Linked DNA regions of Schizosaccharomyces pombe. The protein of the gene in region 1 interacts with the protein of each later gene in a biochemical or structural test. Each region holds a gene or a part of one and is shown on either strand. Other genes may lie near its edges.

Region 1 (7,698 bases):
TGCAAAATTATGGTTAGTATATAGAGCAGCAAAACGTGGGTCACTGACATCAGCTTCGAATCCTTCCTGCAAGCCTTCCAAATTGGAGGCTTTTTTCTTAAGCTTGCGATTCTTCTTAAACTTTTCAGCCTTCAGTATACTCTTCATGTCAAAATGATCGAGCTGCTCAGAATCGTTTTCATCTTCACGAACAAGGTTTTCCAGTTCTTCTTTAGACGCGGCCGTAGGATCTTCAATTTGAGTATGCTTGCCCTTTTTGTTTTTCTTATTGTTACGACTAGCATCCTTGTCCTTAAAGAATGGATCATCAAAACCAAGATCAACGTCGGATCCTTCACCTTCATCGTCTTTTGTTTTCTTAAGCTGTCTCAATTCTTTCCGTCTTTGTTTTCTTTCAGCGGCCTTACGCTTGTATTTTTCAATAGTGGTTTCATCTTTTTCCGAAGAGTTCGCATTGTTATCAACATCAAAACCTGAAGTAAAAGTAACCTCCATCTCACCATTGGCGCCTTCAAGTTTGTCATCATCCTCAAAAGGGTTACTATTCGCTTGGAAGTCATCAGCATCACCACTTAATAACTTTTGGTAACGAGAACGAATAACATCTACATCCTCATCTTCAGATTCACTTGAGGCAATGTAAGCGCTAAAGTCTAAATCTTCAATATCCTGAGAAGTAAAAGCCTTTTTAATTAAATCCTTTCTGTGTGGATCCTCAGCATCCCACGAAAGTTTAACTTTTGAATGTTGCAATGCATCGGTGACAAAATCTCTCGGCTCATATTTTTCGGGCGCTTTAGTACATACTTCGCGAGATTCATCGTCGTCAAATGTAACATCATCTGGAATGAATCTTAAATCGTAAATATTAGCGCTAGTTTCATACTCAGCGCCATCACAAGTTTCGTATATAACCTTTGCCGTTCTTACACTATCACATTCCACTACTGCGTAATAGTAACGAAGCCTTTCTAATTGATACTGGCGTAATTTTACCATATCAAACTCGTTGCCTAAATCCTCCTCTATTAAAGCATCTTCCTCATCTTGATCAGACTCATTGTTATCAAAACCAAATTTTTGAGCCTCATGCAATTCGGCGCTAGAAGGTTGATTGTCAGCTGGAGTAAATATATCACGTGGAGGACCCTGAACATGTTCCGCAGCCATTCTGGATTTTCCAAATTCACTGGGATAAATCGACACTTTCAGTAACTTCCCACCAGGAGGACAAAAAGAAGAAAGAGCAACAAAAAGATCAACTGCTTGAAGATTATCCCAATCCATGTTTACTACAGCAAGACGGTTAGTTTCTGAACCACGAGGAATATTCTCTTCTGGCTCGATTCCAGCTAATTCGGATATCTCCGGTTGAGCTTCAGTTTCACTTTCAGCGTCGCTTTCATCGCTACTTTCCGAAGTACTAATAATTCCCTCACCACGAGCTGGATCATATACTTCCTCATCTTCGGACTCCTCATCGGTTAATTCTTCCGATTTTGTGGATTTCGAAGACGCTGAAGCGACTTCTTCGTTGTCAGTAATTTCCGATGATTCAGACGAACTGGACGACCCTTCATTTTCCAGTTCATACAGTCTATCAATCTCTTTAGTAGCCTTATCTTGGTTGAGAGGACGGCCATATCGATCAACACTGGCAGTAGTTTTAAAGTCCTTATCCTCCTTGAGAGATTTAAACCGCTCATCAACTTTTACTTTAAAATTGCCACGTTTAAGTCTAGAAAATCTAGGATCAGAGTGAACTGATTGAAATCTAGGATCCGCAACTACGTTGCTTTCACTCCTTGATTTAGCATTAATAGGCTTCGTCTGCTTTTTGCCCATGACTACTTCCAATATACAAGGCTTTGACTAAATATGAAGTTCAACTTTCAAATTATGTGTTGTAGTTAACGCACATTAACGCATTGTGGTTCATTAATGTATGGAGTATTTAATACTTCTAATAAAAAAAAGAATCGATTCTTCTATGCTTTGAGGAAACATATTTATTTATGATATTTAAAATTAAAAGATGTATTGATAATTGATTTCGACTTCTCTTAGACTTACATAGTTGGTTGTGAATAGTGTAAACAAAACTAAAAACAGTAGATTAGGATTAAAGGTTGTACTAACATTAACAGTTTTTCTATATGAATAAAACTCCTGATAATAGCTTGCATGAGAATTGAAGGGACTTCGTGAACACATGTTTTAATACTATCGAAAATGAATAGTAACTTATTTCTTTCCAAAAAAGGACATAATAGACTTTTGTTGTGGTTTACTTTGTGCAGTATTCTTCTTCTTAGTTGCAATGTTTACAGTAGTCGGTTTGTTTCTAACAACATTTGAAGTACCAGTTGAGATGTTTTCATCTTCAGAAAATGATTCCCAGACTTCTTCTTCCTTAGTAACCAAGAATCCTTCTTCATCTTTCGTTGTCGCGTACTTTTTAACTTTTCTTTTCCCACGTCTCTTTCCACCGGATACGGATTTGATAATTTCCTGAGGTTCGTCAGGTGCAGCAGATTTTGCTTCGGTACCAATTTCCAATTGGAAATTATTAGAATCTAAATTATCATCTTCAGAATCGTGAACGCTAGTGGTAGATACTGATTCATCTTCTAGCTGCATAATATTTTTCAGATCATCGCGCTCTCTCTTTGCTTGCTCAGACAACTTCTCCTCCTTTGGCAAGAGAGGCTCCTTTTCTTTATGATTTTCAAGAGGAGCTTTTTTATTTTTACGAGATGAGTTTCCCTTTTGGTTCCTTGCATTACTGAAAATATCTTTCCCTTTAGTCTTTTCTGTACTACGTGTGTCAGTCTTATCGATTGTCGATGTCTTTGAGGGAACAGATAATTGGGGGGAATGAGTTGAAGGTGCCTTTTTCAAAACACGAGGCTACAATAAGTTAGTCTTCCGAAGACGGAAGGATCGAATGTCAAACAACGATTGTTGTGATATAAATTACTTACCACGGAATTTTCATTGAAAATAAATCCATACTTATCAGCATCTTCTTTTTTGTATAAAACATCTTTCTCTCTTATTTCATATACTGCAGGTAATAATTCGTCAAAATCCTTAATTAAATCAATTAGTTTGTAACAATATAAAATACAGCTTATCGAATACTTACACTTAATGGAGCAGATGAAAGAGCAAATATAACAGTTTTATACCCACTTTTCAATCTACTTTGTTTCTCTACAAATAGTTAGCGAATCTGCTATCGAATGATCGGAATTGACAATAACAAACCTTGTAGAGAAGACTTATCACACAAAATGTATTGCAAAACAGGAAAATTAGATATAGGTTGAGATTCCTCGTCAATTTCCAAATTAATTTCATCATCTATAGGTTGTCCATGAATAAGGTATATAGGATACAAAAAATCGTTGCCTTGATAAAACATATTAAGATATCTGAAAGTATGAATTATTAATAATAAAAATAAAAAATAATGCGTATTGTTCCTTACTCTTGTGCTTTTTCACTGGATATATCCAATTGCAGACTTAAATTATCTACAGTTACCTTTTATACAGTTAGACATTCAAATTCTTGTTGAAATTTCATATCTTACAAGTGAAGATTCATTGATAACTTTAATATCTAAGAAGTTTCTCCATTCCTCCATTTTTTTAGAAATTTCTTTTTCCGCTAAGTATTCCTTAGGAAAGTGGTATTTACGAGAATAAGAAGCAGTGTGTAAAATCAACGAAATTGAAAATTAGTGGGAACAATCCTAAGGTAGGCTAAGTACTGAAGCCAGCGCAGACGAAATATGTATGAAAGATTACATTTTCATTAATGGAGTATACATGCTTAACTACATTTACAATATGTAAAATATTTAAAATCTAAATATTGACATCGCATGTTCAATTACTGCTGCTATCCAGTTCATAGAAGTATGCTAATGAAAGATTTAAAATTGAATGGGAAGTTACTTCATCAACGCTGACAGAAATTGATTTAGTAATTTACGGCATTTTTTAGTAGAATGTTTTTCAAATTTTATTAATTTTGAACATGGCAATTTGATTTTTTTTCTCTACTAATTTCCTTCTGCTTTTAAGCTGATAGCGTAAGGTTGAGTTTCACAAAGTTGTTGGAATGTTTTATATTTAATCAAACTTGATTCTCCCTTATTTCTATTTTCGGGTATAATGATTTGTAGCACATTAATGTAGTCATCTGACAAATCTCTTATAATATTATTTCTCAGTATCGCTCTATGCTCCATAGAAATGATCAGAGTATATACATATTCCCAGCTGTATTCAATAATGAATTAAATTTAATAACAGTCAAATAATGCTACAATTCTTTATCCCATATGCCTTCATTTTAGATAATTGACATCAGGATACCGTAGGTATTGCTTATTCTTACTTATCATGGTGTTGGTCGCTTCAGCAAATACTTCCAATATAGATAATCAATTCTTTAAACTCTCATGAAAAGTTTAGTAAACCTTTGGGGAATCTATCCATTCATTAGAAATAATTCTCTCCATGGTTTTGCCAAAATACCTAGAATAGTCAGCACTATCCCCAGACAACTCCGCTTCTCATCTCTACGACATCCTACTAGACAAATGGACTTGATACATGACACTGTCGTAGTTGAAAATCTTAACACATTTGCTGTAGTGGGTCAAGACCAATGGAAAAGAAAGGAACCTCAGCCAGTGCAAATTGATGTATATATGAGAAACAATGTTCAGTTAGCTGGAGAAAAAGACGAGTTAAAATCAACGATTCATTACGGTATAGCTTCTAAGCTATTACGAAAAGAAATTGAAGGGTCTTTTTTTACAACCCCTAAAGATTTGGTCAATAAAATTGCAAGTTTATGTTTTGAAGACGTTATTGATACCTCGCATGTTTCTATTAAGCTTACTTTACCCAAATGTGTTTTAAGGTCTAAAAATGGATTGCACTATTATGCTGAGCGCGAACGCAATTCTACCAGTAACTTTGTAGATCGTATTGAATTCTCGGATTTGGAGTTAGCTACGATATTAGGAATTCACGCATTTGAACGACAAGAGAAGCAAAGAGTTTGCTTAAATATATCATTTGCAAATACGGAGGTCGAAGCTTTAGAGATCGCGCGCGCAATCGCCGAATATGTCGAACAATCTGCTTTCCTGACTATAGAAGCTTTGGTTGTCAATCTTTCAAAGTATCTTTGTTTTACAAAGAATCTAGACGATATAAGCATTAAAGCTGAGAAACCTAGTGCTATCACATTCGCCAATGCTTCTGCGGTGCAAATTTATCGAACACGGTCGTACTTTTTACAAGAGTCTCTGCATAAATACGAATCCACTAAGAACAAAATTGCTTATTTGTCTTTTGGTTCAAATATTGGTGACAAATTTGAGCAAATCCAAACAGCATTATCTATGTTGCATAAAATAGAGGGTATTCGTGTGTTGGATGTTTCCCCTTTGTACGAAACAGAGCCGATGTATTATAAAGACCAACCTTCTTTTTTGAACGGTGTTTGCAAAATTGAAACCAGAATGTCGCCTATCAATCTTTTAAGAGCTTGTCAATCCATTGAACAAGAAATGGGTCGAATCAAAACAATTTTAAAAGGACCAAGGTGTATAGATCTCGATATTGTCTTGTACGAAGATTGTGTTTATGAATCAGAAGTTTTGACTATTCCCCATTTAGGGCTGCAAGAACGTGAGTTTGTTTTACGTCCATTGCTGGCCTTGAGCCCAGACTTAGTACACCCTTATACCCATCAGCCCTTACAAGAAGCTCTTGATAAATTGCCTTCACAAGGAATAAGATTGTACTCATCTTTTGACAACAAAAAAATCATTAATGGCGCCTTAACAATGGGAATTTTGAACGTGACCCCCGACTCGTTTTCTGATGGTGGTAAAGTCTCGCAGAATAATATCCTTGAAAAAGCAAAAAGTATGGTTGGAGATGGTGCTTCTATCCTAGATATAGGTGGGCAGTCTACTAAACCTGGAGCTGATCCCGTGTCTGTTGAGGAAGAACTCAGAAGAGTAATACCTATGATTAGTTTACTTCGAAGCTCAGGGATTACAGTACCCATCAGTATCGATACTTATTATTCAAAAGTTGCAAAACTAGCCATTGAGGCAGGTGCTAATATTATTAATGATGTGACTGGAGGGATGGGTGATGAGAAAATGTTACCATTAGCTGCAAGTTTACAGGTGCCCATTTGTATTATGCATATGAGAGGGACACCAGAAACTATGAAAGCACTTTCAATATATGAAAAAGATATCGTTGAAGAAGTTGCTGTCGAGTTGTCGTCTCGCGTGGAAGCTGCGGTTCAGTCCGGCGTTCATCGATACAATATTATACTGGATCCTGGCTTTGGATTTGCAAAAACACCTAAACAAAGTGCCGGTTTATTAGGAAGACTTCATGAACTGATGAAAAAACCGCAGTTTAAAGATATGCATTGGCTTTCGGGTCCAAGCCGTAAAGGGTTTACTGGTTACTTTACTGGAGACGCTAGCCCCAAAGACCGTATATGGGGTACTTCAGCTTGTGTTACAGCTAGTGTTTTACAAGGAGTAAGTATTGTACGTGTACATGACACTAAAGAAATGTCTAAAGTCGTTGGTATGGCTAATGCTATACGTTACGTACCTTAATTGCTTTGTTCTAAAATTCCAAGTTTAATATAATTTTGAAAACTTTGTAAAACAACAGTTAACGTAAGAAGTTGGTTATGTTTAATAAATCAAATCCAACGGGTTATCTTTCGTCGTTGTAGACCCGAGAATTTATCAATAACCAATGTAGTATCATTTTCTGACAATGTTCACGGATATTGTTAACAATTTAATTTTGAATTGGATATCTAATATTCACAGGTTGAATAAAATTAGTTTCATTATATCATCACATATTGTAATTTTAGTTAACGAGGATTATGTTTGTAAGAGAAGAGAAAATAACTGTGGCAATTATACACGCACTTGCAGATGCAATTGTAAATTTTTTAGATATAATGAATAGTTGTACCAAAAATGTTCCTGCTTTTACTTTTTTTTAGAAGATAGACATTGGAACGCGGCTTGCTTAAAAACCTGGCACGTGCCTTTTTTATTTTTCGTGCATTGGTAAAAACAGTACTGTTTAAGTATTAATAAGCTTAAATTAATTCTTTAAATTCACAGTCTCCAATTTTTTCTAAAATTCTTGATTTTGGTATTTTTGCTTAGCCTTCGCGTTCGTTATATTTATATACTACCAACCACTTTAAACTAAACCAACCCCGTACCTTTGGTAAAGTAGCCACTACTGCTTTATAAAGCTATTTATTGTTAATCTCTTCCACAATGAAAGCAAATAGAGACTTTGGAAGAGATGGTGGCCCTTTTAGTATTACGCCGAATCGATTCCAGCCTAAATCCAGCGGAAATCCCATATTCCGACAGAAAACCATTCGAACTGTTGGGATAATTGCTTTAACACTGGTCTTATTTTTATTCTTCCATCGTTCATTCTTCTCTTCTTTTGGTGAATTTCCCAGTTTTTCTTCTACCGCGAACGCTCCTAATTCTGATGTGCAAGAATATGACTTGCGAAAAGTAATGAACGCTAAATTTACTGGAGATTATTCACCGAAAGAAAAGGTGTTGATTTGTGCTCCACTTCGAAATGCTGCAGA
Region 2 (5,285 bases), on another chromosome or scaffold:
TTCTTTCTTTTTCGCTTGACGAAACTTGTGTGTGTGTAAACGAGCTCGGTTTCATCGACCCAGCTGAAAACTGGCTACTTTTTTAGGGTACATTATTACATACAAAAGTTTCTTGCTTTCTTTTCTTTTTAACACATAATACCGAACTTGCAAATAGCTACTAGCGAGACCGTTATACGGCCAGTCAAGTCAACGCAAATGCTCATCATATACACGTAAAATATCATCAATTGGTTTGAGCCCAACGCAATAATGACTGCGAATGTTTGCTGTTAGATAGAACATTCCTTTTACTTTTTTTTTACTTTTACGGAAAAAGTATGTAGAAAGGCAAAGAAGGAGTTCTTTACACTCACTCGCAAAATTCCAATTCCACTTTCAATTGCAAAAAAAAATGCAATCCACAATTAAACAACCTCTAAGGAGAATACAGAAATCATCGCTTCCCACCTAATATATCTCACAGCGCATCCTAACGAATACAGTACCAAATTCAATAAAAAGACAACTAAAGAACGAGGATCAAATACGGTACTGCGCTACATCTCATAGCCGAGGTATTCTAAATAGATGCCAGTTAAGGTAAAATAAGCTTCCAAAAATGCAACTTAAAAAAGAATAGATTGTTGAAATGAAAAGTATACTTCTACAAAAAGGATGTTGGGAATAATTCTGTCATACCATACCGTGAATGTCGCAGAATGTTTCAATTTCAGTAGCACTGGCATTTTATCTTTTCTGACTTATTTTCAGTCCGGCTGTTCCCTTCTCTTTTGGTGTCCCTGTTGTCTTGGACAATTTGTCACCCCAAGGACCCTTGTACTTGGTTGTTTAAACAACTAGCTCGTTAGATTGGAATTTGCTTTTCGGGAATTCTGGGACTTGCTTACTCTCCGTAACCTCATTTCTTTTCTCCTGTCTCTTGCATTTCACACACCAATCCAAACAAGTTCAGCGTGAGGACTGCTTTAACATCCGTGATCGAGCCTAGACGGTTGTCCCAATGTTTAACAAGGAGCTCGATGTACTTTTTTATTTGGTCCGTTGACTTTCCGCAAACATGCAGTGAGAGAATACGGAAGTGAAGAGAATTTCGGTAATGTATCGCACGCACATATAGGAACAAGAACAATTCATATCCATCTATGTCTCTTCCGGTTTATCTGAATGATTTGTTGCTTTCTATTAATTCGTTAACCAAGCAACCACGAGGCCCCATCATTCTGCCAAATTGACTTTCACAATCATTGCACAACTATTGCTTCAAGCTCCCTACAAGGTATCCAGTGAGTATCAATATTTTAGCAGCATCGATTTGTTACTTACTGTTTGGAAAAAAATCGGGGCAGATGAGCACAAACAAAAAGCAACAAAACTCTGAAATTTTTATATAAAACATGGATTCTCAAACTCCGATCCCACAAAATCCCTCTACTGCTTTAGTTTAACCTCAGGGGAAGCGGAAACCGACAACTGTCCGCAGAACCGTTATTGGCTCGTTTGTTCCAAACTCTAGCAGTGCGAAAGTGAAATTTTTACAGTATGCAGGCAGGTCCTTCTTGCAAGACACTATAAAGTAAAAGTTTTTTAAACAATTCGACATTCCGGCGAATGTGAAAATGTAACTGTGTGAAATGTTGACTATACAAGTGCATTAAGCAAAAGATCTCATCGTAATTTTCGATCTTCAATTTATCAAACTTTCAACCGTTTTTAAACCGTATGACCTTTTAATACGTAAACAGTTTCTCATTTTTTTTATGTTTTACTGCATTAATCACACACAATAAGATTTTATTTCCATTTCATTCAAGTTGCCAAGTTATTTCTATTTAGTATATTAACAACTAAAACACAACTGGCTGGCTATGCAAGTAATTATTATTCTCTAACATAGAGATTCTTATTTTTTTTGGTACACAAGTTTATGAGTCGTTAAAACCTTTTTAAATCGTGCAACATTGATTCATCTCAGTATACTCGATTATCCCTGTGTTCGATATCCCGCAGCTGTAGCCGATACTGAATGTTAACAGTCCACAGTCTATTTATAGCTAGCTCTCTGATATCGGACAACAGGCAATACCGCTTCATTGACCTCTCGTGACAAGCGGCTTTTTTATAAAGGATGTATTGATATCTTTGAAGAAGAAGAAAATCGGCAAGTTTTTCATTTTACTTTAAACATTTGAATTTGGTTTTGCTATTCTTGCTTTTCCTTCTACAATACTTTTCCATATGGGGTAATAGTGTGACCGATCAACATTGCGTTATTTAATATTCAGATTTCAACGGAATAAAATAAAACCTCAATTTAAATTAATGTAGTTTTGATATACATCTTTAATAAGTAATATAGTAAGATACAGAAATCACCTTAACCATTTCTAGGGCACTATGTTGGCCTACCTTTCCTCCTATTAATTAACATAATGTTATTAATTTACAATCATCAAATAAATCGAAAACCCACTTTTTATGCTATAGGAAAGGGTTTGTAGTTCATTTACTTCGTTGGGGAATTTGCTTCTTTTACTTTTGTGTGATAAAACTCGATAGACTAAATATATGGATTCATCATGATTGTTCAAGGTTGAGAAAAATGTTAATTGTATGAAACGAAATAAACCCACATGATGTTTGTTCATCCTCAATTAGTAAACATTCACCTTTATTGAGCTTCTTTCTCTTTTCGTCAAGTTTACCTCTTTGTTTACATTTAAAAAAAGATGTTCTTCAAACACTTTATTGTTGTAGGTAACAACAGCTAGTCATGTTAGGAACCACGACTTTCTCATATACAACGTATTCTTACTTGTTGATCTGCTGCATCCAACTCCTTTGCTTATTCGAACCTTCTAAACCTGGTTCCATTCCATGAAATTGATTCCCCTTAACCTTGCATAGCACACCTTTGAAGTTCCTTACTCTTTACATATGCTGCTTGTGTAAATTAGTCAATAACATTTAAAGAACTGATTTTATTGAAAAAACAACAAAAGCGTTATTATATTTATTCCTCTTTTTTTTAAACAGGTGTTTTGGGGCCGTTCATAGGTTTTTTGGGAAATCATATAAATATATATATATATATATATATATTTTTTTCCGCACATTTACTTGCAATACTCGCTCGTTTTAGTAATTGCATGAATCGTAGACAACTCTTCACTCTCCATTGTTGTGAAATTTTTCGTGGAGCATCTCGATTTAATATCCTGACTACTCCTTTGGTAAGTGTTTAACTTACCTAACTGTATATATTTACAAAATAATCATGGTTGAAGTCAGACATTCAATTCCTTGTGAAGAAACTAAACGCTTGGAGCTTAGTTTAAGTCAGCAAACGTATAGTCAACAGTACGCCAGCATCTATTTCGCCCGACTTACCGCTCTTCGACCCAGAATCACAGAAGCCGCTTCAAAAAAATGGCCGGATAAACAGCGATTGGAACGCGTTTTAGATGTTAAGTCAGATGAAGACTGTTGGGTTGTCGCTACCGCTTATATGACTACAGCTCTTAAGCCAAACGTTATGAACGATGTCACACAACTTCATACAATTGTCACCACTACTGAAGAATCTCCGTATGTTAGCCCAGAAGATGCTGCTTCAGGTGATATAGAATATGCTCTTGAGGATGACTATGGCCGTATAGATTGTAGCGGAAGCTTTTTGTATGACGCTGGCGTTGTTACAGGAGTTGTTCTTGCAGTTTTGGGCCATGAAGATGAACAAGGTCGTTTCGTTGTCGTTGACGTTTGTTTTCCAGGCATCTTCTCTCATTCCATTCCAATGACTACAGATGAATCGCAAGCTCAACCAGAGTACATTGCGGCAGTCAGTGGCTTAGGTCTCTCAAATGACGGCATAGAAGGCATTCAAGTTCATCAGCTTGTAGATTTCCTAAGAGGAACACTTCCACATGTCTCTTCCTTTTCCCCTTCCTCCATCAAAAGGCTAATTATTCTCGGAAATTGCTTAGCACCTTCTATAGAAATTGCCGACTCCGCTTCTGCGTCCGTGCCCATTGGCAAGAAAAAAGTAAAAAGATATGGCTATGACACGTCTGCTTACAATCCAAATCCCACCTTCCAACTAGATAATTTTCTTGATCAAGTGTGTTCCAGCATAGATGTCACTTTAATGCCTGGTCCTTATGATTACAGTTCAACTATCCTTCCTCAACAGCCTTTGCATCCCGCTTTACTTACTAAATCAAAAGTTTGGTTGGGATCTTCTTTACAAACAGTTACGAATCCCACTTGGCTTTCTCTTGGCAATCATTTTGTGTTGGCTACTAGCGGCCAAAACATTAATGATCTCCGAAAATATCATCCCAAAAAATCTTCACTTCAATGCATGGAAAACACTTTACTATGGAATCATATCACACCTACCAGCCCTGATACCTTATGTAAGTAATCTGTACATTTTTCAAACGATATATTTGCTAATGATTTTAGGGTGCTATCCTTTCACCGACAAAGATACATTTGTAATGGAGGAAATGCCTGATCTATATCTTTGTGGTAATCAACCGAAATTTGGCTGCAAAACAGTCATTAATGAGGGAAACAGAATACAATTGGTTTCCGTTCCCGAATTTCGTAAGACTGGTGTACTTGTTCTCATAAATATGCATACGCTCAACGTAGAAATTATTCAATTCCGCCCCATGTCAGTCAAAGCAGAGACTCCAATTACTTCTTAATGCAAAATATCTTGAATATTTAATCATGTATTTATTAAATAAATAAGTTTTTTCTTACTGTTGTCATCATAATTATCTGATCTACACGTCTCATTGAGTTCTTTTGTCAAACAAATGAGAATTATTACCACTGTGGAACGTGAACTCCGTAGGTTCAAAAACGTTAGTTGCATTCTGTAGGGAGCGCTGGTTTTTAGGAATTCCTAATTGGTCTAATAACTCAGTCGACTTGGTTGGCATTATAGGTTGTAGGAGAATTCCGCTAATGCGTAGGCTGTGAGCTACTAACATTAAAGTGTCAATCTTTTCTTGAGAATCATCTGATAATTTCCAAGGTTCTTTCAATTGAAAAAGCTTAGTGACTCTTCTTAAAACAGACTGAACAAGATTAATAACCTCGTAAACACACCCACCATCTATGCTTTGCGCGCAAACAACAGGAAGTTCTATAAGTTCGTGTACAATATCTTCGTATTCTGTAAAATCATCCTTTTTATGCCATTGCTTCTGTATTTCATTGGAAATGAACAGTTTCTTCGATTGCAATCGAGAAAGTAGCACACCTAAAGA

Evidence for each region. The genes of interacting proteins can lie anywhere in the genome.
Region 2: the proteins of cdc27 (region 1) and cdc1 form a complex in vitro, tested with the Schizosaccharomyces pombe proteins (3 studies listed by BioGRID).

What each region holds. Positions count from the first base shown.
Region 1 is NC_003423.3:1,059,726-1,067,423, forward strand, and holds cdc27 (DNA polymerase delta subunit Cdc27), read right to left. Parts: upstream 3,700-7,698; 5' UTR 3,653-3,699; coding exon 3,599-3,652; intron 3,550-3,598; coding exon 3,494-3,549; intron 3,438-3,493; coding exon 3,271-3,437; exon of another isoform or gene 3,217-3,270; coding exon 3,149-3,216; exon of another isoform or gene 3,093-3,148; coding exon 2,985-3,092; exon of another isoform or gene 2,911-2,984; coding exon 2,245-2,910; 3' UTR 1,993-2,244; downstream 1-1,992. Other genes in the region: pre-rRNA processing protein Esf1, read right to left, coding at 1-1,845; fol1 (dihydropteroate synthase), read left to right, coding at 4,475-6,676; mannan polymerase I complex subunit Anp1, read left to right, coding at 7,367-7,698.
Region 2 is NC_003424.3:4,011,773-4,017,057, forward strand, and holds cdc1 (DNA polymerase delta small subunit Cdc1), read left to right. Parts: upstream 1-3,277; coding exon 3,278-4,418; exon of another isoform or gene 4,419-4,467; coding exon 4,468-4,715; 3' UTR 4,716-4,785; downstream 4,786-5,285. Other genes in the region: SPOM_SPAC27E2.14 (uncharacterized protein), read right to left, coding at 750-839, 891-905; msm1 (methionine--tRNA (Met) ligase), read right to left, coding at 4,806-5,285.